4 linked regions of the Yarrowia lipolytica genome follow. The protein of the gene in region 4 binds, or shares a complex with, the protein of the main gene of each other region. Links are inferred from orthologs where the notes say so. Each region holds a gene or a part of one and is shown on either strand. Other genes may lie near its edges. The genes, in order: YALI1_C10492g, YALI1_E17171g, YALI1_D10858g and YALI1_D04901g.

Region 1 (5,310 bases), on a different chromosome or scaffold from region 4:
GAAATTTCGGCTTCGTTCTGTCGGACTTACTTAGTCGCTGCATGTCCAGAACTACTCAGAGGGTGTGCCAAAGGGATGTTTTTTCGTGAGCGGAGATGAGAGGATAAGCACTAAATCAGTAGAAAATGCATGGGTAAGTTGATTCCTCGAATAATTCCCGCAATAATTTGCATCAAAGGTGATAATTGAGATGGTATCTTAGCCCAGTCCCGGACAACTACCATCTTTAAAGTAACCTAATTTAGGTATCAACAAATTTATAAATATCAAAAAAAACACATGCTAAAGGTTCTCAACTAAAAATCTAACAAATCCCAAATACTGCAAGCATTCTTTTTCATCGTTGTCTTCAAATAAATACGTACCGATCCTTGGTAACCAATCCTTCTTTCGTAATCACTCCTTCATTTTAGCAACCACAACCCGCACTTGCACTCCCACACTTTCTGTCGAGTCCCGCTCAACCTTCAACCGCTGCTCAAGCATCTCAAAGAATTCAGATTCCTGCTCGTTACGCATCTTGTGTCCAATAACCACCTTTGCTGAGGGGTTTGCCTTTAAAAGACGTTCCAAGCAAGCAACCAAAGTCTCGTACATGTCCATATTGTACGTGCAATCAGCCACAATAATGAGATCAAGATTGGTCAACTGAGAAACATCCTCATCAGCCCAATCAAGAGCCATAAACGAGGCAGACGAATTGTTCAGCGCGATACTCTCCTCGGCACACTCTCGAGCCTCCTCCAGATCAGACAAAATCAAACTTCCCTGACCTCCCAGATGCTTTTCCACCGCTAACCCAACAATTCCACATCCTGCACCTAGCTCCAAAATGCCCACCTGCTGGCTGGAATCTTTACCGGTGATCTGCTCATAGATTCGCTCCTTGGTAAGCGTATGAGCCAGAGTGACGCCTGCGTCCCACACGTGACGAGCTATACTGTTTCCTGTGTCTTCCTTAATGGTGAGAGGAATGGAGTCGAATTTTCGAATCGACTTGGCAGGGAACTTGCCATTGACGGCCTGGGCGTAAAGATCGAGGAACCGAGCGGGCTGGTCTGGAAAGAGGTCATCGCGCGATGACAGCACTGTGGCTCGAAAAATAGGTCCGGGAGCTGTTATGACAGTCACGGATCTGTCTCCTGGAGACCATGTCACTTTGCTTCTCCTCTTTCCCACCTCAATGCCAATCTCAGCTGATCCGTGGAACAGGGCGTCACCCAGGTCGTTGCTGAGCGAGAGTACGCTTTTGTATCCCTCTTTTGTCGCCGTGGGGACTTTGAGGAACTTGATATGGTAGAGCATGTGGAGATGAAATAAATTTTAGACGTCATTGTTAAGAGTAGATAGTGAACTTAATTTGAAAAGTCGGAGGGTGTAGAATGAAAGTGAGAGGGGCTAGAGACAGGATATTACACACATGTGATGAGCAGCGATAGCTCATGCGCCTTCTTTTATCTTTTTTCAAATCTCTTCTTTCGGACTTGGAGGTATCGTGTTACCTGCAGTGTACTTACAACGATCTGAGTGGTTCGCTCGCGTCTTCACAATTGTTTGAAACGGATACAATATGAATCTGAGAGTCCAACGGGGACTGTCCTAGGCATGATTTACTTAGTTTGCTAAATCAGAAGCTTTCAGCAGCTCGCATTCTTTTTGTCGCTACACCTCCTTCTTCCATCAGTATATACATTTTATTATTTACAACTCTGGTCGTCTTCACCGAAAACGTCATTATCATCCCCGCTCACCGTCTCAGGGCCTTGGCAAGGATGTTTCGCTTCTGAGAAAAGCCCTTGCCAGAGAAACCCAGCTCCTGGAGCATCTCCTCGGCCTTGGCAGGCTCGTTTTGAAGCATGTGGGTGGCCTGGACCAGGCTATGGGTCTTGGAAAACTCGTTTCGCAGCACCTCCAGAGAGAGGTTGGCGATGGGCTTGTTCGGGGGCCACGAATCAATGCCGTAGTGCTGTTTGATCTGCTTGACCTGGTCCTCGTGAGCCTGATCTCGGGGACCCTTCCACTCGTACTCAGCGACCTGTCGCAGCTGCTCCAGCACAGACAGAGCTGAGACCTCCTCTCCCTGCTCCTTGTCCTGGTTGAACTGCATGGTTCGCTTCTTGTTGTCTTCCTCGACAAGGCCGGGGGCTGCCTTCTGGTACGCGAGCCACTCCTGACCCTGAGCGGATTTGATTTCTGCAACAGCAAAGTGCTTGGTCTTGGAAATGGGTCGGCACTGCTCGATTCGAACCACATCACCCTCCTGGCAGGCCATCATCTCGTCGTGGGTGTAAAAGTCTCGGTGGAAGTTGATCTCCTTGAGAATGGCGGGCATGTACTTTCGACGGGTGACTCGCACCTTGATGGACTTGGAGCCCTTAGGACCGAGTCGGGTCACCACGCCGACAAAGCTCTGTCGGCCTCGCGCGTGGGAAAATGCTGTGCTCATTGTAGTGTGGAAATGTCGTGGTGACAGTACCTTGAGACGGGTTTGTAAAGGATGAAATTTCACTTGCAGGGAGGGTCGTGGGTTCGATTTGGGGTGGTGCCAAATAACGTTGGTGCAATGTCGCCAGTTCGAATTGGGATAAGGGTAGATTAAGGGGAGATGTGGCAGGGTCCGAACCGGCAATTGTTTCTAATTGGTAGATTAAGAAAACGCTTCTTAGCATACTCGCATGTTAAATATGTGATCCACTTGTTCGGCAGACACATTATGGACTCGTTGTTGTAGTTTTGTTTTCAACTAATAATGTAACTGTAATAACAGTAACTCCCAACTAGACACTTGAGGAAATGACACAGCCGACACTCCCTCCATCTTCATCAATAACCATTCGATTGCAATTTGAAAACTTTTGTATCCCTCTACGCACCGTCCATTCATCACTGGGTAGGCGGTTTTAGTCCCTCACGACACACAGGACACACCTTGGAAGCCGTCACACATGGCCATCAACTGTAAACTCTATGCAGCAGCTCTAAGGCAGCATGCAAGCATCGTAGGTACGAAATGGCAAGACGATCTGGCTCTCTCAAGTTGTACCCACACACCTACGGCCATGAAAATTGAAGAGATCTTCGATGATGAAACGACAACCAAACCCCAGCTAAAACCCGGGCACACCACAGCACAGGTCAGATCGGACAAGGACATTGAAATGGAGATAGACGACGATATCCAGAAGAAGGTGCAGAACCTGAAGGTGGAAGATCTGGAGGATCTAGAGAAGACAGCGGTGCCCACGGCAAAGGAATCGATGGCGCTAGATGCTGTATTGAAGGACGCAGAAAACCTGGCCGAAATCGGTGTTATGGACAACAAGATCAACGTTACAGCAATCTGCCAGTACCAGTTCGGTCCCGAGGTGGATCCCGACATCAAACGGTACTATTTGACATCTGCCAAGGGGGACGAAGATTCGGAGGAGGGTAATTGCCACAAGAAGCGCAAGTCTGTGCCCGACTTCCGTCCATCTGCTGTGACTATCTTGTTATCAGTACTGAACCTGATCCAGATGAGAGCCAATGCTACAGTCCACAACAAGGACATTATTTCCATCAGTTTGAACGACATGAAAACGGTGCACAAGATTCTGAACATGGTGGTTGTTGAGGGTCTATATGGAGGTCTGGACCCTTCTCTACGGTCTGACTTGGAGAAACGAACACGATTACGTCCTTCTACGACAGAGCAAGACCCGATCTTGGCAGAAATCACATACAATGGCATTTCTGAACTCATCAACGACGGTGGAGATGTGGGAGGACTTATTCTAAGAGCAGGGTACTATGGAGATGTGTTTTTGTTGGCGTCAACGCTCAAGAGGGCTGACTTTATGGACAAGATTGATACGTACCAGCTGTACAGTATTCTGACTAGATTGGCCAAGAACCATCCGTTGGTCACTTCTACACTGTCGACTCTTCCCATGCGACCAGATGGAGTCGCTTCTTTCATTGACTTTGTGCTTACCTCAGGAGATAGCAGTAAGAACCTGCTGATGGAGAAGGTGGTTCAGGTGCTGACGGCTGTTCCAAAGGGTGTTCCTCCCCGAGACTTCTTCCAGTCCGTCTTTGGGCAAATTCGACACATTTTGACGTTGGCCTCAGATACGGACTCGTCCAAATTTGTGGTCGACTTTGTCGCAAAGTTGTACGACATGCCCAAGTTCCACAAAATCGTGCAGTTTGAGATCAACAACCATGTTCTCAATGTGTTTAGACCATCGCGGGAAAAGATTGATTCTGTGGAACTCAACCACGTGGTTATTTCTTCCAAACAGCTCGAGCAGGCTCTCGTTACTCTCTACAACCTCCTTCGAGTGGAACAACCCACGACAGACATCATGGACAAGATCAGCACCAACCTGTGGTACTATGCATACTCGGAACACAAACAGAAGTTGCAACCGCGAATGTACCGTTTCCTTGCCGAGTATATCAGCAAGCAGCGACTTGTGACTGTCGATAACACTCTCAGACAGATCTACAACAACCTCGGACAGACTGGAATCTACCAGACAGACTTTCACGCAGACGGGGACGGTCGATTGGAGCTCCGGCGAGTCTCAGAGGCTTCTACTTCACCCATGTCTATTCTGTCGGAGGTTGATGATCGGGTGAGTTTGTTTGTGCGCCTTCTAGGAGAGGCAAAAAACCCTCAGGTGGTGTCTAACATGTTCACTGAGACTCTGGTGAGATACCTGGAGCATTCTCAGACTGATGAGGGAGATCCTATTGGCCAGCTGATCAATGCGAAGCTCATGGAGGGTTTGATGATGGGTCACAAGGGTCTGATTGCCAAGAGTCCTGAAAAGATTGTCGAGCTAGTCATCAAGCTGCTAGAGGGATACGAGAAACAGAAGGCTCCAGTCTATGATGATTCAGACGACGATATGGCAGATTCGGATGATGAGATGGAGGGAGAGGAAAGCATGGTCAAGTCGTCTCTTGACATTCTTGCGGCTTTAGCTCTGGAAGATGCAAACGTCTCGGACGCCATTCCTGTGGTGGAACAGCTCATGAAGCGAGATCCTTCGTTACAACAGACTTGCCAAACATTCCTGGACTCTGTTAAACAGTCTCATATCTCTGAGTTCTCCATGAAACAGGTTATGGATATGCTTGACGATTCTATGATCCCTATCAGAGCGCAGGGTCTGCAGAAACTCATCTGGGCCATCAAGAGCAATCACGTAACTCTTGCACAAGTGATGCCTATTCTTTTGAAAAACTTGGCTGATGATGACTCGTATATATACCTGAACTGTGTTAAGATGGTTGAGATTTGCATTGAAAGGTATCCTGATG
Region 2 (5,484 bases), on a different chromosome or scaffold from region 4:
GTCGGGAGAGAAAAAAGAAGAACAAGACGTGCACAAAGCAATCATTTAAATACTCTGCATCCACACACACAGACTCAGACACACACACACATCCAACAACATGAACATCATACCAAGACAGCCTCGCACACCTACTCGCAAGAGCTGTAGCGGGACCGCCACACCGACTCCACGACGACGAGTTCGAGACGAAGTTGAGGAGGATGAGGTTGTTCTCTCGGGAGAAAACGTCAAGGAGATCACAAAGCGTCTGAAGGGCCACAGCCAGCGACGGACCCATGCTTGCATCACCCAGATCCCTCGGTATATCAGTCAAGGGTCGGTATACAGCATTCGACAGGTTCCTCTTACATTTGAATGCGAAGTAGGGTATTTTGGTCCACATAGCGATGTGATGGACAGCGATACGACAATACTCAAGCTACGGGACATTTCCAGTGAGCTCGGCTTTCTGTTCTTCCTGGACGACCAGATGGAGCCCAATATCCGACAGCAGCTGGAAAAGTGTTGGGCGGTTCTACAAACACAGCTAGGTGCTACTGTAGTTGCCGTGACTACCGACGCCCATGCTACACAGAACGACTATTCTATTCCCCTCATCTGTGACCATACAGTTGCCCTTGCGCGAGCTTTTCGGGCACTTCATCCCATGGGAGGAGGACGCATGTTGCTTGATGCCATTGCCATGATTGATCGGGCCACCAACAAGATCTATTTTGCGCCTCTGAGTCTTGGAAACAGCACTGCTCAGGTGAGTCTTCGGTGTGAAGATGTCATGGCCTTTGTCGAGTACATTTGGTCGGAACGTTGACCACCCCACTATTTATTGCATACTTACATAACTCTTAATCGCATTGAATTGTATTTGTACGAGTATTTTGTTATACTGTACTAATTGGCTACTCGTAGCCCCTACCCCTCTTGGTTTGATACTCTTCGTTTCTATATTCTATTTACAAGCACTAAGACTGATTAGATGCTCTTTTTGCCCTTGAGCTGGTCGAGGGGAGATCGGGCAAAAGTCGACTGCAGACCCCGGATGATGATATAGCTAATGTAGCCAATAACCCCGGCTCCAATGAAGACGCCAACTCGGACCTCGGTGCTCACGAGGCCGAGGAAGGGGTAGGGGAAGAAGTTGTTGACGGAGGCGGTCTTGTGGACCCAGAACCAGTATGCTGCCGACAGACCAAAGTTGGCAACTACGGCCTGGACGGTGGTCAGGTTCCAGGGCTGGCCCATGAGTACCACGTCCAGGAAAAGGGCGACGGCAGGGACCAGGTGGATGGACATGTCGAGCCACAACGGAATCTGTTCCTTGACGGCGGGGTGTTTGAGCAGCTTGGGGTCGTAGAGCTTGAGGGACCAGTAGAGCACGGTGATGACGCACTCGAGGGGCGTCACAGCCACCGACACGGAGTTTTTGAGCTGGTAAAGCAGATTGCTGAAGTCCTTGGAGTAGAGCGAGGCTGCGTCGGCCAGCAGAGCAAGCAAGAACGCTAGGTAGCTGCCGCACAGACCCAGAATGGTCAGGTACTGGTACTTTCCTCCGTACGAGGCATTGAGCGGGTTGGGGTACTGTTCCAGAAAGTGGAACGACGAGGCGAATGAGATGAAGCCAATCAGGTGGTAGGCAAAAGACAGACCCACGTTGGGCGAGCTAATCCACGGCTTGTAGGGCGCCTTGGTGGTGCGGATGGCTCGGGTGGCTTCTCGTTCCTGTTGCGTCATGATTCGGGCTGAATGGCAATGTGCAGAGTGACTGTACTTTGTGTCGTGTGTGTCAATTTTTCACACGCTCTCCTCCAAAGTAGGCCACACTCTTTCTCTGTTGCTCCCTTGCATAGCGATAAGCGTACGCAATCCACGTGGGTGCGTCTAACTCCATCGCTGGATCCCGGTCTAAATACATCTTTTTTAGGCGAGCCACGCGACTGGCGGCTAATTGCGGTGCAGAGGCCACCCGGTGACAACTAAGGCGGTTCCCTGGGCCCCTCGGATCCCCATATACTCTATCCATTTGGCTTTTGGCCAACACTGTAGCTATTACGAGGGGACGTTGCTCGTCAGCAATATTAGTCTTCGTGTGAAAATATAATTAACCTCCAACGATTGTTTCCAACAGCAGAGTCCAGTAAGCACAAGTACGACTTTTTTGCTGGAAGTTTTTTGTGAGAATGGTATGGTATGACAGCCACATAAGTGAAGCAGGAACAAGGAGCAAGTAGTTCATTTACCACTCCGTACAAGTAGCGAATTGACGTTGGTTATATAGGTATGGAGTTTCAAACGTATCAGAGTATGATGAGCATGTACATTCTCTACAAGTACGTATATGTATGTACATACTGTACCAGTACAACTGAGGTCATATCGTGAGCTGAAACTATGGGTTAGATGAGATGGAACACCAACAGAGAGAGGAGCCAGAGAGGGAACAGTCGAGGGAACAGTCGAGGGGAACAGTCGAGGGGAACAGTCGAGGGAACAGTCGAGGGTTGCCTTTACTTACTTTACTCCAACCCTTTTTCAGTATGTACTTTTTTCAAGTGTTCAGCGTCTCGTCACCATTTCAAGCTTGAACTGTGGTCTTCAGTATGTATGAGAGACTTTGATTAGTTAATTTAGTTGATTTAGCTGATTTGTGTGGATAGGCGATTGCAAAATAAATGGTTCCCCTCTTTAATACACAGTCAATTAGAATGGCTTTTTTCTTTCTTTTAATTTTCTATATATTTATGGCGGTTTTATCCAATTTGTTTTGGTTTTATCACCGCACACTCCTCCCACTGACTAAGTGCATCACGTGCCGGGTGGAAAATCAAATTTGTCAAGGTTACGCATATCCACCACCACAGCGTCATCACTAACACAAAAATGCAAGGGTTTCAGATGCTGCGGACCCGAGTCGCCACGGGCGCCATCGGAGGTGTTCGACACAATTCTGGCCTCGCCAGTTTCATGAACCGTGAGTTGAGCGCTTGCGAGCAGGCTGATTTGAGGATCTGACCAAGATGGAACGACTCCGGATCGTACTAACACAGTGCAAAAGGAAATCAGCAAGATCCCTAAGACGGACGCCGAGGAGCTGAACAAGGCCCGAGAGACCCAGAGACAGATCGACCAGAGCGCCAAGGGTAAGGAGGTGGTGCGACACTACGTCCATGTGACCGCTACCAAGAACAACTTGCACATCTGCGCTACCGACGAGTTTGTTGACAAGTCCTTCATTCCCGAGAGCATTGACGAGAAGCTGCTGCAGAAGGTGCGAGCCCCCCAGGAGGTGCGATTCCACATTTCTTGCGGACATCTCGGCATTAAGAAGAAGGAGCGAGGAGAGTACGACGGAGCCTTCCAGACCAGTGTCCGAGCCTTTGAGCTGCTCGAGAAGAAGGGCATGCTGACCCGACCCGTCGAGGTTGTTGTCCGAGGCTTTGGACGAGGCCGAGAGGGTTTCTTTGCCGCTCTCACTGCCCCTGAGGGAGAGAAGGTGGCCTCCAAGGTCGACCGTCTGTCTGACCGAACCAAGCTCAACCAGGGAGGTACCCGACCTCCTGGACGACGACGAGTCTAAACGGGTGCATTGTACATAGGAATAGTATTCATAGTTGGTGTTTGAGCGATGCTGTAGCCTGTACTGGTATGTTGATGAGCCGCAACGCTCGGATACAATAAGGCAAGTATGACGAACAAACAATGGCCAACAATGACCGCACAGTATTGCTTTTTTGAACAATCTGATCTCAAGTGCATAGTCACTTGATTGCTCGGTCAAAATGTCTTTTGCCTTCAATATCAGCTACACTCCTCCTACCCCATACTAATCTCCGCATGTATGGATAAACTTCAGCAGTTTTGAAATATCCCGACTAACGACCCCGACCAACAGTATCGTACTTGTGAAAACAGCAGAACACATGTTTCGAAACGCCCGATTGGCTGGATTGGTATGCTCAGCTCGACGAGCAGGCGTGGTGAGTGCCCGAACTTCGCGAGCCATGCGACTCACCGGCGGATCCCGAGGACTCTCTGGTCTCCACAGTAACGTCAACATCACTCTCAAGCAGATTGAAGCCACAGTGCCCAAGTTTGCCGTGGACAAGGGCCAGATCCAGGTTCTGTACGATCCCGAAGAGTTCTACGACCAGCTCAAGCAGAAAATCCTGGCGGCGAAGGAGCGTGTGTTCCTCTCCACTCTTTACGTTGGCAAGGAGGAGACGGAACTAGTTAGCTGCTTGGACGAGGCTCTGACGAAAAACCCCGGTCTCAAGGTCTCCGTGCTCATTGACGGCCTGAGAGGAACCCGCGAGGAGCCCGAAACGTGCTCGGCCTCTCTTCTGGCCTCCCTGCTCCACAAACACGGAGATCGGGTCGATATCAGATGCTACATCACCCCACACCTGTTTGGACTCAAGAAACAGCTGATCCCCAAGCGATTCAACGAAGGCTGGGGCCTACAACACATGAAATTGTATGGTTGCGACGACGATATCATTCTGTCGGGAGCCAACCTGTCCAGAGACTACTTTACCAACCGACAGGATCGATACTTTGTGTTCAAGTCTCGGCCTATTGTCGACTACTACCACGCCATCCACAACGCTGTGTGCAGACTCAGCTGGAGAGTGGCCCTCCCCAAACCCGCCGAGAAGGCCCCCGAGCCCGGAAAAATGGCTGTCTTCTTCAAAAAGCAGGCTGCTTCTATTGCCAAGAAGATTCTTCCCGAACCCGAACCGGTCAAGGACCCCGGCTTTGTGCTGGAATGGCCCAACAACAACACTCTGCAAAGCCCCAATGTGTCTCTTGCCGAGTTCCAGCGTCAGGCTACCGCCTCTATTGCTCCTCTCATCACCAGTAAACCTGTCGAGAGCGGCCGACGAAAGGTCAAGTCTCTAGCCCAAAGAGAAACTGAACTCGAGGAGGCTAAGAACGAGTCAGAGTCCACCGAGCCCCAGACTCTCGTATTCCCCATCTCGCAATTCACTCCCCTTCTTAAACCCGATTCCTCCACCGAGTTCCCTACTCTGGGACGTCTTCTCTCCATGCTGTCCATGCAGCGATCTTCATGGACCTTCACCGCTGGCTACTTCAACATGCACCCCGAATTCAAGGCCAAGCTGCTCGGCAGTGTCCCCGATAAGGGAACCGTCATCACTGCCTCTCCTCAAGCCAACGGTTTTTACAAGAGTCACGGTATCTCGCAGTACTTGCCCGACTGCTACACCCTGCTGGCGCGCCAGTTCATTCTTGACGTCAACAAGGCCCATAGACAGAAGGAGATTGAGCTGCTGGAGTGGCAGCGAGGTGTCGTCAACACCCCCGGTGGATGGTCTTACCACGCCAAGGGTATCTGGATCAATGGTCCTGGAGACAAGTTGCCATCAATCACTGTTGTGGGCTCTTCTAACTACACTAGACGAGGCTATTCCAAGGATCTCGAGACTAACGCTCTGATTGTCACCACAGACGAGGAGCTTAAGCGAC
Region 3 (5,778 bases), about 600 kb from region 4:
GTATAAACCATACTATTATACTGTTCAAGCTCTCATGCACGGATCTCGTGTTTCATTCTTACGCCCATTCTCTCGGAGTAAGCTCCTCGATATCGGGATCTGTTCTCTCCTTAACTATATACAATACTCTACTTTCGGGGTCGGCTGGGGTCAGCATGGACTCGGTTGGCCACGGCGAGGTTGTGGATGACCAGGGTCTTCTCCATGAGCGACGCTCCCTTGGACTTAATGACGGATGCTATCTCCTCTCCGAGTCGGACCGAGAATGATCGGTTGGGCCGCTTCTCGGCGTTGTCGACGGACCACTTCCACACTATTCGTCGTCGCTGTCGCTCGGTGATGGGAACGGGGTACTGGACCTTTCGAGCACCAACGGGGGTCGACTTGATGACACAGACGGGGGCAACGTCATCAAAGACCTGCTTGAGCAGAGGAATGGGGTCGGCCTTGATCATGACCTGAGCGAGCTCCATAGCCTGGTAAAAGTGCCGTCGGGCAGCGTTCTTTCGGCCATGCTTCATGATCATATTGATCAGATGGGCCTCGAACTCGCCGTCGACCTTGTTGGGGATGGGCGCAGTCTTGAGAGCCTCAGCCTCGGCCACCTGCTCCTCGGTGGGCACAAACAGAGCCTTCTTACCGTTCTTGCCGGTGATGACCTGCTCAAACTGCGACTCAGAAGTGGGGTCGATGAGCGCCATGGGGTCGACCTTGTTGGCGGAAACGTCGCTGAAGAAGCCGGAAACAGTGCTCTCCTGTCGGTACTTGTCCAGCGTCTCTCGGAACTTTTGCATGTCCAGAGCGTCCTTACCCTCAAACTTTTCGGTCGACATGCTCTTGGCCTTGATGTCGTCCAACAGAGCAATCCACTGTCGAGCATGGCCCTCGGCGGTCTCGGGAGCAATGGGCTTTACGGCGTTGGCCTTGATTCGCTCCGTGTACTTGGCAGCAATAGCGTCTGTGTCCTCCTCACCCAGATCGGAGTTGACGGCCAGCTCCTGGGCAAGGGCCTTCTGGTCGCCGTCAAATCGGTCTGCTCGCACGTTCAGACCCACCAGGATCTTGGCGGGCGACGCCGAGGCGTATCCGCGACGGGCGGAGAACCGAGCTAGTCCTGAAGTCGTTCTCAGCATGGTGGTGTGTGTAGATGGTGATGTGAGAGTGAAAAGTTAGTTTGAGTTGGGTGTAGGAGAGGTGGTACCGGTGGAACCTGGGGGGGTTGGAGCGGGGGCCAAGGAGCGGTAAATTCGCAGAAATAAAGGCTGTAGGTGAAGTAGCTTGTCTTTTTGTATATATTTACTTTTTTCATTTTGTCATTTATGCTCCCATTCCATCATTTATCACATACCTCTTTATATCTCCAAATACAATCCTTGCAGCCTCAAAGTGTGTGAAATTTGAGGTGAAATTTCGGTCACTCGACTTTTTTTAGCTTTTCGGAGAGAGAATATGGGTATCAGTAAAATGGGGAGTTTGAGGACTGCAGCCTTGAAAAATTGACAGAATATATATTGCCACAGCGAAAATATTTCGACTAAATTTCACCCATCTATCTCTTCTTCAACCTCCTCAAATTCCCATTGTCGTCCAGCTCTATAGTATGAAGAAGGTTTTGCTTAGTTATCAGGGTAGGGTTTTTCCTAGTTGACACAAGATCTTTATATGGTGTCATTTTTTGCGAATAAAACACCTTAGATTTACTTTTCCAACCATGGGCTATTGATTCCTCTTTTCTTCATCTTTCTAGCCTTCTTACAGCCATTTCTGGAAACCCTCCCGCTTCTCCTCCATTTTCACTGCATTTTTTAACTTCTCACCACTGAACATTTTCATAATCATCACACAACATGCTCAGACTGGCAAACCAAAGCAGGGTGCTCCAGGGAGCGTTTGCACGAGCCACGGTTGTAGGCCGGGCCTCCGCCGTGACCCATGTTCGTTTCATGTCCGATTCGACCGACGTTCCTCCCTCGGATCAGTCCAAGCCCTCGTTCCGAACCGACAAGCGCATTGAGTCAGCCACTCCGTTTGCTGAGCCCTCCGAGATCCCCTCTGCAGACGCCTCTCTGCTTCCCCGGACCAACCGAGTCGAGGAGCTCCAGTTTGAGGCCAAGTACACGCTCGACGCCAAGACGAAGGAGGCTCTGGATACCATTGAGGAGCTGGGCTTCAAGACCCGGCAGAACCTGGATCCCGAGCGATTCAGCGACGAGGAACTAGACCCCAGAAACTGGACCGGCCTCGAGTTCCATGAGGTGGTCACGCGTCTTCACAACCGACAGTTCAAGCTCGGATCGGCCTACTCCCAGAGCGAGGAGGAACTGCGACAGCTGGTTCGAGCTGGTCGAGTTGCTGGAGCCGACGCTGGCGTAATCCGATCCGCCTACCACGGCAAGCATAGCGTCGTTGAGAAGAATGAGGAGGACGACGATCTTTTGGATGCTGATCACGTTAACGAGTTCATGTACGACGATATCCCCACTGCTGGACACATGCAGGTGGAGAAGGTGCGAAAGATGCGACACCTCCAGCGAATGTCTGCCTACGTGCTCCCCCGACTCGTCGATTATCATGTGCCCTTTGATGTCAAGGAGGCTGACAAGAAGGCTTCTCCCCTGACCTTCAAGTACACCTCGTACACCGGAGAGGAGGCCGACGAAGAGGCCAAGGTGGTCTGCTACTTTGACCCTGCCAACCTGGGTCTCTCCGACAAGGGCCTGCACAAGTTCAAGCTGCTGTCTGGACAGAACTACGACGCTCTGACCGGCCAGTGCAAGTTTGCCAGCAAGCGACACCCCTCTGCCCCCGAAAACAAGCACTACCTGCTGACTCAGATTCTCAAGCTCAAGACCGAGGCCGAGCAAGGTGACTCGTTCGAGGACGTGCCTCTGGACACCCGACACGCCCGAAACAAGGCGGAGCGCATCGCCAAGCGAGACCGATACCGACTGGCCAAGTTCCCCGAGGAGTGGAACCGACCTGAAGACAAGGCTAAGCAGACCGCTTTCAAGGCTCTTTTCGGGTAATGTATATAGTAAATGAGTAACAAGCAAACGCAAGCGTGTGTAGCCCATTATATCTTTAGGCCAGACGAAGGCACCTAGGTGTTGTATCGTACTGTGCTAGATAGGAAGCCAGATTTGTCCAAAACTGGTACCAGTACGAATGTTTGTACATGGCTTCGCAACGCAGCAATCACGGTATGAATTCCCATCTTCGTGTATGAAGACAAGTCTGGATATGTACTTGTACAGTTCCCCTATCAAGCATGCTACATATGGGTGAGACATGGCCCCCACACTCTCTATGATATACAAGTACTGTCGAGAGCCATACTTCAACGTCATGGAGAAAGGTGTATGGGATGTCGAGCTACAACCACTACTCACCTACACTGACCTGATCTCCCTGCTACAATTACCACCCAATTCCGTCGATGCCCGTGACCTCCAGCCACTTGCCACCTGGTACCTGTTATGATAAATAATCCATGCTGTGCTAATGAGTGTCGCTAAGTGCAACCCTTTACTCCGTCTTTAGTCGTTTTGCCTCTCTATCTTCTTCGGTTTCGGTTGTGGTTCCATTTTGTGCCGTTGGCTCGGTTGGCTCCTTGTCTGTTGGTTCCTTCTTTGTTGTTTCCTTCTCTGAGGTTGACTCCTTCTCGGGGGCTTCCTTCTCTGTAGTCTGTGTGGGCTCCGTGGGCTCCTTCTTCTCCTCCTCTGCAGTATCGGCTTCCACCTCTCTCCTCTCTCCATGCTTATGGTTTATGTTGGTCACGTCAGCAACTACCGTGGTGAGCAAATCTCCCTGGGTCTCCTCACTCTTAACCTGTCTGATCTCCTGAGCAACCTCATCTGGTACATCGTGAGTGGCCATTTCCGCCGACAAATCCGCATCCGTCATTTCCACAGAAACGTCGTGGGTCGTCATCGACTCGGAAATGCTATCTCCAGACACATCTGCCATCTCCACGGACACATTAGAAGCTTCGTGAGAAACATTCTCTGCTGGTACCTCTGATATCTCCTTGGTCTCCTCTTCCTCTTTGTCTTCCTTCTTGCCCTCCTGCTGCTTACCCTCTTCCTGCTGCTCCTTCTGTACTGGCTTAACCCCATCGTCCTGTTCGTCGGCGGTAACGGCGTCGGTCTCCTCTCCTCCCTTTTCAAGCTTGGTTGTATCCCCCTCAGAAATCCACGGGATCGGCGTCAGCACAATTCCCGTATCCGGTTTGATCTTCTCGCCGTCCTCCACCGTCGGCACATCGTGAATGTCCACACTCACTTGGCCGTAGTCGTCAATGGACGAAGACACCAACATTACCCGCTCCAGAGCTCGCAGAAACTTGGCGAGGTGGTTCTGAGGGTAATACTTGAACGGCTCGGTCAATAGTTCGGCCATGCGCTTCAGAGTGAAGGGTGGACTGCTCTTGAATTGCGGTGCGTCTAAGAGCCCCACTATTCGGTGGATTTGTTCCTGAGCATCCTCCTGGTGGCCTGTCACGGCATTTACAACCATGCCATCTTTGATGGGGTCGTACGACTCGCAGATCTCTTTGATCAGCTGCTGCACATGGCCTCGCTGCTCCTCCCAGCTGGGCATAGATCCATCTTCAATGGCAGTCTTGAGACTGGATAATGCTAACGTTAGTACGGTAGCGAGGCTGTAGATCAGCATGGGTGCATCCCGGCTGTTGTGGATCACGTGGCCTCCTTGGTGTCACCTGACTTCGTTCCTCCCTTCTGGTACTTACCGCCCGCGGTTTCCAAGGTCATTTTGATGGTGATGTTTACGATGAAAGAGTGCTGCATGACTCCCTCACGTGTAGCACGTGAAGCTTAATCGTCACACGACAACGTGGTTATTGAGAGGGGGGAAAGCGCTGGGTAAAGGGGCCTAGATAATTAACTGGTTTCTGTCTCTGTGTATTATAAAAGCCATTCTAATCAAGATGCACTTTTGATATTCTCTATTCTTCACTTATTCGTGGAGTTGAGGTGTCTTTCTATCGGTAGCATGCTATCAGTAATGTCTCAACTATAATCTAACTAATACAGTGAATAATAATAAGGGAATATACTTGCATGGAGAGAGGGAAAGCGTCTTGAAGGTGTGTAGAAAGGGCATTATTAAGTAACGATACTAGTACCTAGTACAAGTACGATACTCAATTGTTACGAAATATATACCCGTCACTCAAACGCTGACATTCTACATGATCCCGCCCCCGCCCCCCTCTGGCATTATCACTAGGAGAAGACTTCCTTACAACTTTCACCAGCATCAGTTGATCATAATGATGCCGCTCTTTTAACAGATAGTTTTCTCGTCTGGCTTGTATAAGCAAATATCACTGGCCTACAAGAATCCGTCGTCATCATTGACTGAACAGACTAGAATATATGTCCTTGCACTCCACACTTCTCTCGTTCCAACGTTGTGGATTGTTGACCTGTTCTTGTAGACGGACTAGATTACAAGTAGCAGCGAGTATACCGTCAATAGCAGGTCTTTTTCTTTTCTTTTTTTTTTTTGAGAATCAGCTTCTTGTCCCACTCTGTATCTTGCTCATGTACCACGTGTGGGATACATCTCGAAATGCTTAGACAGTATTCGTACTCAACAGAGGACGGACTCCACCATGACAGCCAGGTTCCTCTTGGCCAAAATGAGTGATTTTGGTATCAGTGTGGGTATTAAAGTCATATCGTCGCCGTTTCCATTGCCGTTGCCGTTGCCGTTTCTATTCATTCTCAGTATCTTTGCGAAACAACTTGTGTC
Region 4 (5,365 bases):
TTGCCAAGTAAAAAACGAGCAGACAACTGTACAATGAAGATCCCAAGGATGGAGTATTGGGTATCCACATCGTTCGGTACATACTATTCTACAAGCACATACTGTGTGGACTCGTATAAGTACGGGTAGTTTCATATATCTAAGTCCAGTCAATTTCTCAAAAAAGCGTTTGGCTTAACAAACAAATTGCAATTTAGAAAAACCTTACAAATGTGGAACTGGTTTGATGTTGCTACCCCCATTCACATGTTTACATATACACACACGCGCGTTCATCTTTCCATCTACTCCCCTCCTCCAGAGAAGTAAAAAATGCAATCTATTGTCATCGGACCTTTCCGATATAAAAGTATTTTTGTCATCACTTGGGGCCTGCTTTCCTCCCTTCATGTTGGGGGTTCTTCTCGTCCAGTTTCACTCGCCTCCTGACGTCCCCTTTCAAGAAGTTCCTCATCGATTTGACAGTCGTCTACAAGGCCTTTTATTTTGTCGATTCATTTGCGTCCTTGGTAGACTCATCTCCAATTTGAAGGTCCTCCTCAACCCTAGTTTCCATCTCAGCTTCAATGTAAAAGTCCGCTTCCTCCAGTTTCGACCATGCTGTCCGTGTAGGCTGTTCCACCTTCTCCTCCTGCATCTCCTTAGGAGCAGCCATCTCTCTGGCATACCGCGACTTGTCCAGAAACACGTCCATCCACTCCTGGACCATGCTGATGGGCGGCTTCAGCTCTCCGCCTCCAAGCCCCTGGTGTTTTTGAACATGCAACCGTCTAAAATAAATAAAAATGTACGCCTGCTTCTCCTCGTCCGTCCTTGCCAGTCGCACGGCCTCCAGGCAGTTGGCCTCGGAAATCAACGCAGTTCCTCCTCGAGCATCGATCACCCCGGTCGCCTTGTACGCCTTCAGAGCCGCCATGAATAGCTCTAGAGTGAAAATGGCATTGTCAGGCTTCGTTTTAAGCACGTACTCGGTCAGATAAATGAGATCATCGCCCGTCCACGTCTCATGCTTCTCAAACCCTTGGTACATGTCTTGGAGACACATTGTGGGCACTTCTCCAAAGTACATCTGGGCCATTTTGAGCACTCTGGTGCACTCTGAGAAGGATTTGTGGTGATGGAGGAGCATGGAAAACGTTTCGGGAGTCATGGTTGTCGGAGGAATGTCACCTATAGAGCTCATGTGCTTGTATGTGGTAGTCTTGGCATTCTTCTTCCGGGCCGTCTTCCTCTCGAACTTCGCAGCTTTGAAAGCACTCTTGTTCTGACGAACAGCATTGTTGATCTCGCTGGTGGAGAACTGGGCAAGATGCGAAATCACAGCCACAGCCTTGTCGTATCCTCCTTCACCACTTCGCAGTAACCCCCATATCAGAATGTTGACATCTTGGGGTCCCGTGTCTCTGCCTGAATAAAGACTGTAGAAGGTCTCCAGAGTGTCCTCACCAGCCCTTAGTCGCTGTCTGAACACTGTCTGTACTGTAGTGGCGTCCCATTGCACTCCCTTTTGCTCCATTTTGTCCAGCAGCTCCTGAAATGCCTTATTATCTCCCTTGCAAATCACCAAGGCGATATTGAAGGTAGAAACAGGCCATTCGACGTTTCCTGAGAGCAGCTGCATCATGTATTCCATGTCTGCCGAACTCGGGGGCGCTGGCTTTGCCGGGTTGTATTGAGTCTGCCAGTTTTTGTCTCTCAGCACGAGGTACACCAAGGTGTTGACTTCCTTGATAGATAACGGGATTTTACATTCGCGCATGTCTTCACTGATAGTCAACAACCGCTTGATGGTGTGTTTATCACGCAGAGCCGGCGATATGATCAGATCCAGCAGTTGTTCCAACTCAGCATGTTGCAGATGAAGCGGTCTGGGTGTGGGCAGGTTCAGATACAGGTTGTAGATGTCGTCGATGTTGATTTCTTTCGAATAGAGCGCCTTGGTGATGGAGGCGTAGACAGATTTGTTGATACGCTTCCGTGGCACCATGTACCGCAGCTGGCGGGTCTCGTAGTAGTTAAGACTCTCTGGATCAGTGTTGCGCCCCTTGCGTGGGGGTGGCTGAGATTGAGACACAGAAGGTACGTCGAACGGGCGGAGTTGGCGGATTTTCGATTCCATGAGAGTGGAAATAGCACGGGTGGGAGTCACGCGAGCTGAACTGGCTCGGAGCACCGTTCTAACGGCCCTTTTGTGCATTGTTGAATGGTGATATTGAGATCAGAAAATAGTTGCAGGATGGAGAAGTTTAAAAAAATCTGGGGAAGGTCAAAGGGTGTTTGGTCTGGTGTCAGATGGAGTGTTATTGCACAAATTTGACGTATTATATGATTCAAGTATCGCAGATGTGCCTGGTTCAAAATTTAAACCTCTAGGGTGAATATTGAAGGCGAGAGAAAGACAGTCATTTTGTTGATCGCGTAATTTCCCAGTCAACTAACTTTGGATATTAGTTGGTGTAAAACTTAGTAGGATGAGAGCATTAGATAGCACTGTTGTAGGGGTATTAGACAAGTTAAAGAGATTGTAGAAGTTTTGTTGACAAGAAGATGTCATAAATACCGACCGATGGTACTTTCATCTACTTCCAACAGCGTTTAAGACTGTATACATCTTTTGTTAGCCATACAAAGTTCAGGCACACATACTGCGGATATGTGTACAAGTTGTCCATATACAGAAGGATCTTGGGATATATACTGATTCAATAATAGTTTCTTCAGTTATAATACACCCGAAAAATCCGCGGAATCTTTTTCCTTCTCCATACACATCATGCTCCACCTCCGAATCACCCTCCCACACATCTCCCAGCAATGACTTATAGTTGTTTTCGCTCATAACCTATAGAAAGAGGGGAGGGTGCGCACTGTGGCTATCTGAAGGGGAATTCCTACAACCAAAAAAGAGCTTCTCATTAAACTAGTGTTACTGAGTAATATTCGATTATCCATTTTCTCCTCATCTCCGCCATACCCCCATTCTATTCCCATACCCAATATCTCTTCCTCCTGATAAACTTTTTCAGTGAAAAAAGCATGATCCCACAACATCTCACATTCACATCTGTGAAACAACACACTTGTATCCCCACACACCATGTCGCAACGAATCAAGACCGCCGCCGTGGATATTGTGCATATTACCAGTGGCCGAATTGCCTCCGGCATGCTCTCCCACGAGCCCATCTGGTACCGGGCCATGGCTGCCAACATGCCCACCACTGTCTACCAGCACAAACCCCATTTTGAGAAGCTGGCCCGAATCGCCCAGCGGGAGTCTGAAAAGCTCAACGAGTTTATCAAGACGCGGTCCAAGCCGGTGCGGGTGCGAACCCGGCATCTGTATGAGCCCGTGCACCTCAAGTTCATGGAGGATGAGATCCGAGAGATTTTCTACAAGCAGCATCCCTGGGAGCTGGCGCGACCCAAGCTGATTGTGGAGAACAGCGGTGACGATCACGTGACCCAGGACTGGTCCAAGATGTACCAGGCCAACAAGAAGCTCGACGGTGAGTCTGTGGTTCAGCGAACCATTTATCTTCTGGGTGAGAAGAAGACCCACGACCAGAAGGCTCTTCTGGAGGCCTACGACAAGGCTCGATTCGAGTTTTACAAGCTGCGAATGGCTGAAGATGTGCAGAACGTCACTGCCGCCGAGGAGGCTGATATGTTTGGAGCCTGCTTCTCTACCTCGTCGGTGGAGCGAAACCTGTTCCATGAGCAGAAGCGAATTGAGGATTGGAAGGAGAAGGCCGTGGAGATGACGTTGGATATGGGTGCCAAGTAAGCATGAGAGCAGCTAATGATTTCACTAGGTCATGAGCCTGGCGAATTTATCTGGACCCAGGCTTTTGAACATTAACATACTCACATGCTCCCGAGCCTACCAACAACTAAAATAAAGTGTATATAGTCAAGTTATGAAACGAAAACGATCTGAGGGTCTAGTGAATGGGTCCCTGAGACAGATGATAGTCTTGTGGAGACAATGTTAACGAGTTTGACTCTGCTGCTCCTTCCAGTGATCCATAAGTCTCTCTGTTGATTTGATGGGTTCTTTGTGATAGGTTATATTGTCTTGCTTACTTCAGTCGAATTTTGAACTCTACATTGTAACTTATTGGCCATTCATGGAGTTCTACCCTCAGTACATACAGTACATCGTAATGCAACTGTTGATGCTATTGTACGTCTAGCTAGGCTACATTCTGGGGTTCCAAAGTTGAAACCATCTGTGTAGAGCCTGTGTCTTTATGAACAAGCACATACTTCTTCCATCTATCATCTCTGTGATACTCTACCTTCGAACTTCATTTAGCCTGCCTGGTTCTGTTGAGTACAAGCATTTCACAGCCGAACCATCTCTCGTTGTACATTTAATGCATCAATGTCATGTTATTTATATACAAATATGTCCCTGTGTCAACTCCGACATGCTACAAGTAGTGAGCGACACTGTTCAAGTAGGACAGTGGACAGTAGCCATAGGTCAAGTACGTACTCAAGCTGAAGTGTTGTACATTCTCATTGTGTCCTGAGTGAGGATTCGCCTGAATTCGCCTCTGAGAACTCAGTAGAACGGCGTCCACCCGTGAAAAATCACAGCCAGATTCTCCACGCTCACCGCCTCCCCAATCAGCTCTCTCACCACGGCCTCCGTGCTCAATCTCACTGCGAGCTTCCCCTTTACACCGCTCAGACACATGTCTGCCGTCACGTTGGACTCCTCCAACTTGATATCAGACAAGTCTGATCCCGAAGAGCTTCTTGTTTGTTTTTTCTTGGGGGACATTGTCCACGAATACAACGGATCGTAACGAAGCACGTTGAGAATCGATAGAATGTTATCCTGCTGTTCTCGGAACAGACCCAGGGACAATTCACAGCAGCGCCTAAATGGCCCATCGACTCCCACACTACCCATGGCATCAACCATGTCTCTTGTGAGTCGAAAGGGCACCTTTTCAGGCACAGTCAGGTTCTTGCCCTGGTCAAACGAAATACCCAAGTCGATATGCACCAATTGACCTGTCTTGTAATCAATCATAATGTTGTTACAATGTCGATCTCCAATACCAAGAATGTAACCAAGCATGGAAGAAGCAGCTGCTGAACGCACATAGTTGGTACGGGCTTTGAACCAGGCCTGGGCGGACGAACGAAAGTTCTGAAAAAAGTATTGGCTCATTACAGGCGTCACGTGCGTGTAGATTTCCTCCAGTACCTCGACCCGTCGACTGTTGCTCTCCTTGGCTACCGCACTCATTTTGGTCCGTCCGGTAAGGTAATCCCAGTCGTCTTTTTCGTGTAAAGGCACCAGAGCTGCCTGGAGAGACTCCGTGTTGGCCACAAACTCAATCATGCC

Evidence for each region.
Region 1: YALI1_D04901g (region 4) and YALI1_C10492g share a complex: the UniProt entries of both Saccharomyces cerevisiae proteins name them as parts of the mitochondrial small ribosomal subunit. The link is inferred for Yarrowia lipolytica from reciprocal best matches to the Saccharomyces cerevisiae genes RSM25 and MRPS17.
Region 2: YALI1_D04901g (region 4) and YALI1_E17171g share a complex: the UniProt entries of both Saccharomyces cerevisiae proteins name them as parts of the mitochondrial small ribosomal subunit. The link is inferred for Yarrowia lipolytica from reciprocal best matches to the Saccharomyces cerevisiae genes RSM25 and MRPS18.
Region 3: YALI1_D04901g (region 4) and YALI1_D10858g share a complex: the UniProt entries of both Saccharomyces cerevisiae proteins name them as parts of the mitochondrial small ribosomal subunit. The link is inferred for Yarrowia lipolytica from reciprocal best matches to the Saccharomyces cerevisiae genes RSM25 and RSM24.

What each region holds. Positions count from the first base shown.
Region 1 is NC_090772.1:1,046,793-1,052,102, forward strand, and holds YALI1_C10492g (mitochondrial 37S ribosomal protein uS17m), read right to left. Parts: upstream 2,447-5,310; coding exon 1,748-2,446; downstream 1-1,747. Other genes in the region: YALI1_C10480g (uncharacterized protein), read right to left, coding at 397-1,305; YALI1_C10497g (uncharacterized protein), read left to right, coding at 2,946-5,310. UniProt on the Saccharomyces cerevisiae protein: Component of the mitochondrial ribosome (mitoribosome), a dedicated translation machinery responsible for the synthesis of mitochondrial genome-encoded proteins, including at least some of the essential transmembrane subunits of the mitochondrial respiratory chain.
Region 2 is NC_090774.1:1,714,706-1,720,189, reverse strand, and holds YALI1_E17171g (mitochondrial 37S ribosomal protein uS11m), read left to right. Parts: upstream 1-2,877; coding exon 2,878-2,968; intron 2,969-3,044; coding exon 3,045-3,574; downstream 3,575-5,484. Other genes in the region: YALI1_E17201g (uncharacterized protein), read left to right, coding at 101-811; YALI1_E17184g (uncharacterized protein), read right to left, coding at 973-1,731; YALI1_E17162g (uncharacterized protein), read left to right, coding at 3,918-5,484. UniProt on the Saccharomyces cerevisiae protein: Component of the mitochondrial ribosome (mitoribosome), a dedicated translation machinery responsible for the synthesis of mitochondrial genome-encoded proteins, including at least some of the essential transmembrane subunits of the mitochondrial respiratory chain.
Region 3 is NC_090773.1:1,081,953-1,087,730, reverse strand, and holds YALI1_D10858g (mitochondrial 37S ribosomal protein mS35), read left to right. Parts: upstream 1-1,847; coding exon 1,848-3,026; downstream 3,027-5,778. Other genes in the region: YALI1_D10865g (mitochondrial 37S ribosomal protein uS7m), read right to left, coding at 129-1,133; YALI1_D10829g (uncharacterized protein), read right to left, coding at 3,526-4,637, 4,751-4,808. UniProt on the Saccharomyces cerevisiae protein: Component of the mitochondrial ribosome (mitoribosome), a dedicated translation machinery responsible for the synthesis of mitochondrial genome-encoded proteins, including at least some of the essential transmembrane subunits of the mitochondrial respiratory chain.
Region 4 is NC_090773.1:487,882-493,246, reverse strand, and holds YALI1_D04901g (mitochondrial 37S ribosomal protein mS23), read left to right. Parts: upstream 1-3,097; coding exon 3,098-3,787; downstream 3,788-5,365. Other genes in the region: YALI1_D04910g (uncharacterized protein), read right to left, coding at 482-2,197; YALI1_D04814g (uncharacterized protein), read right to left, coding at 4,571-5,365. UniProt on the Saccharomyces cerevisiae protein: Component of the mitochondrial ribosome (mitoribosome), a dedicated translation machinery responsible for the synthesis of mitochondrial genome-encoded proteins, including at least some of the essential transmembrane subunits of the mitochondrial respiratory chain.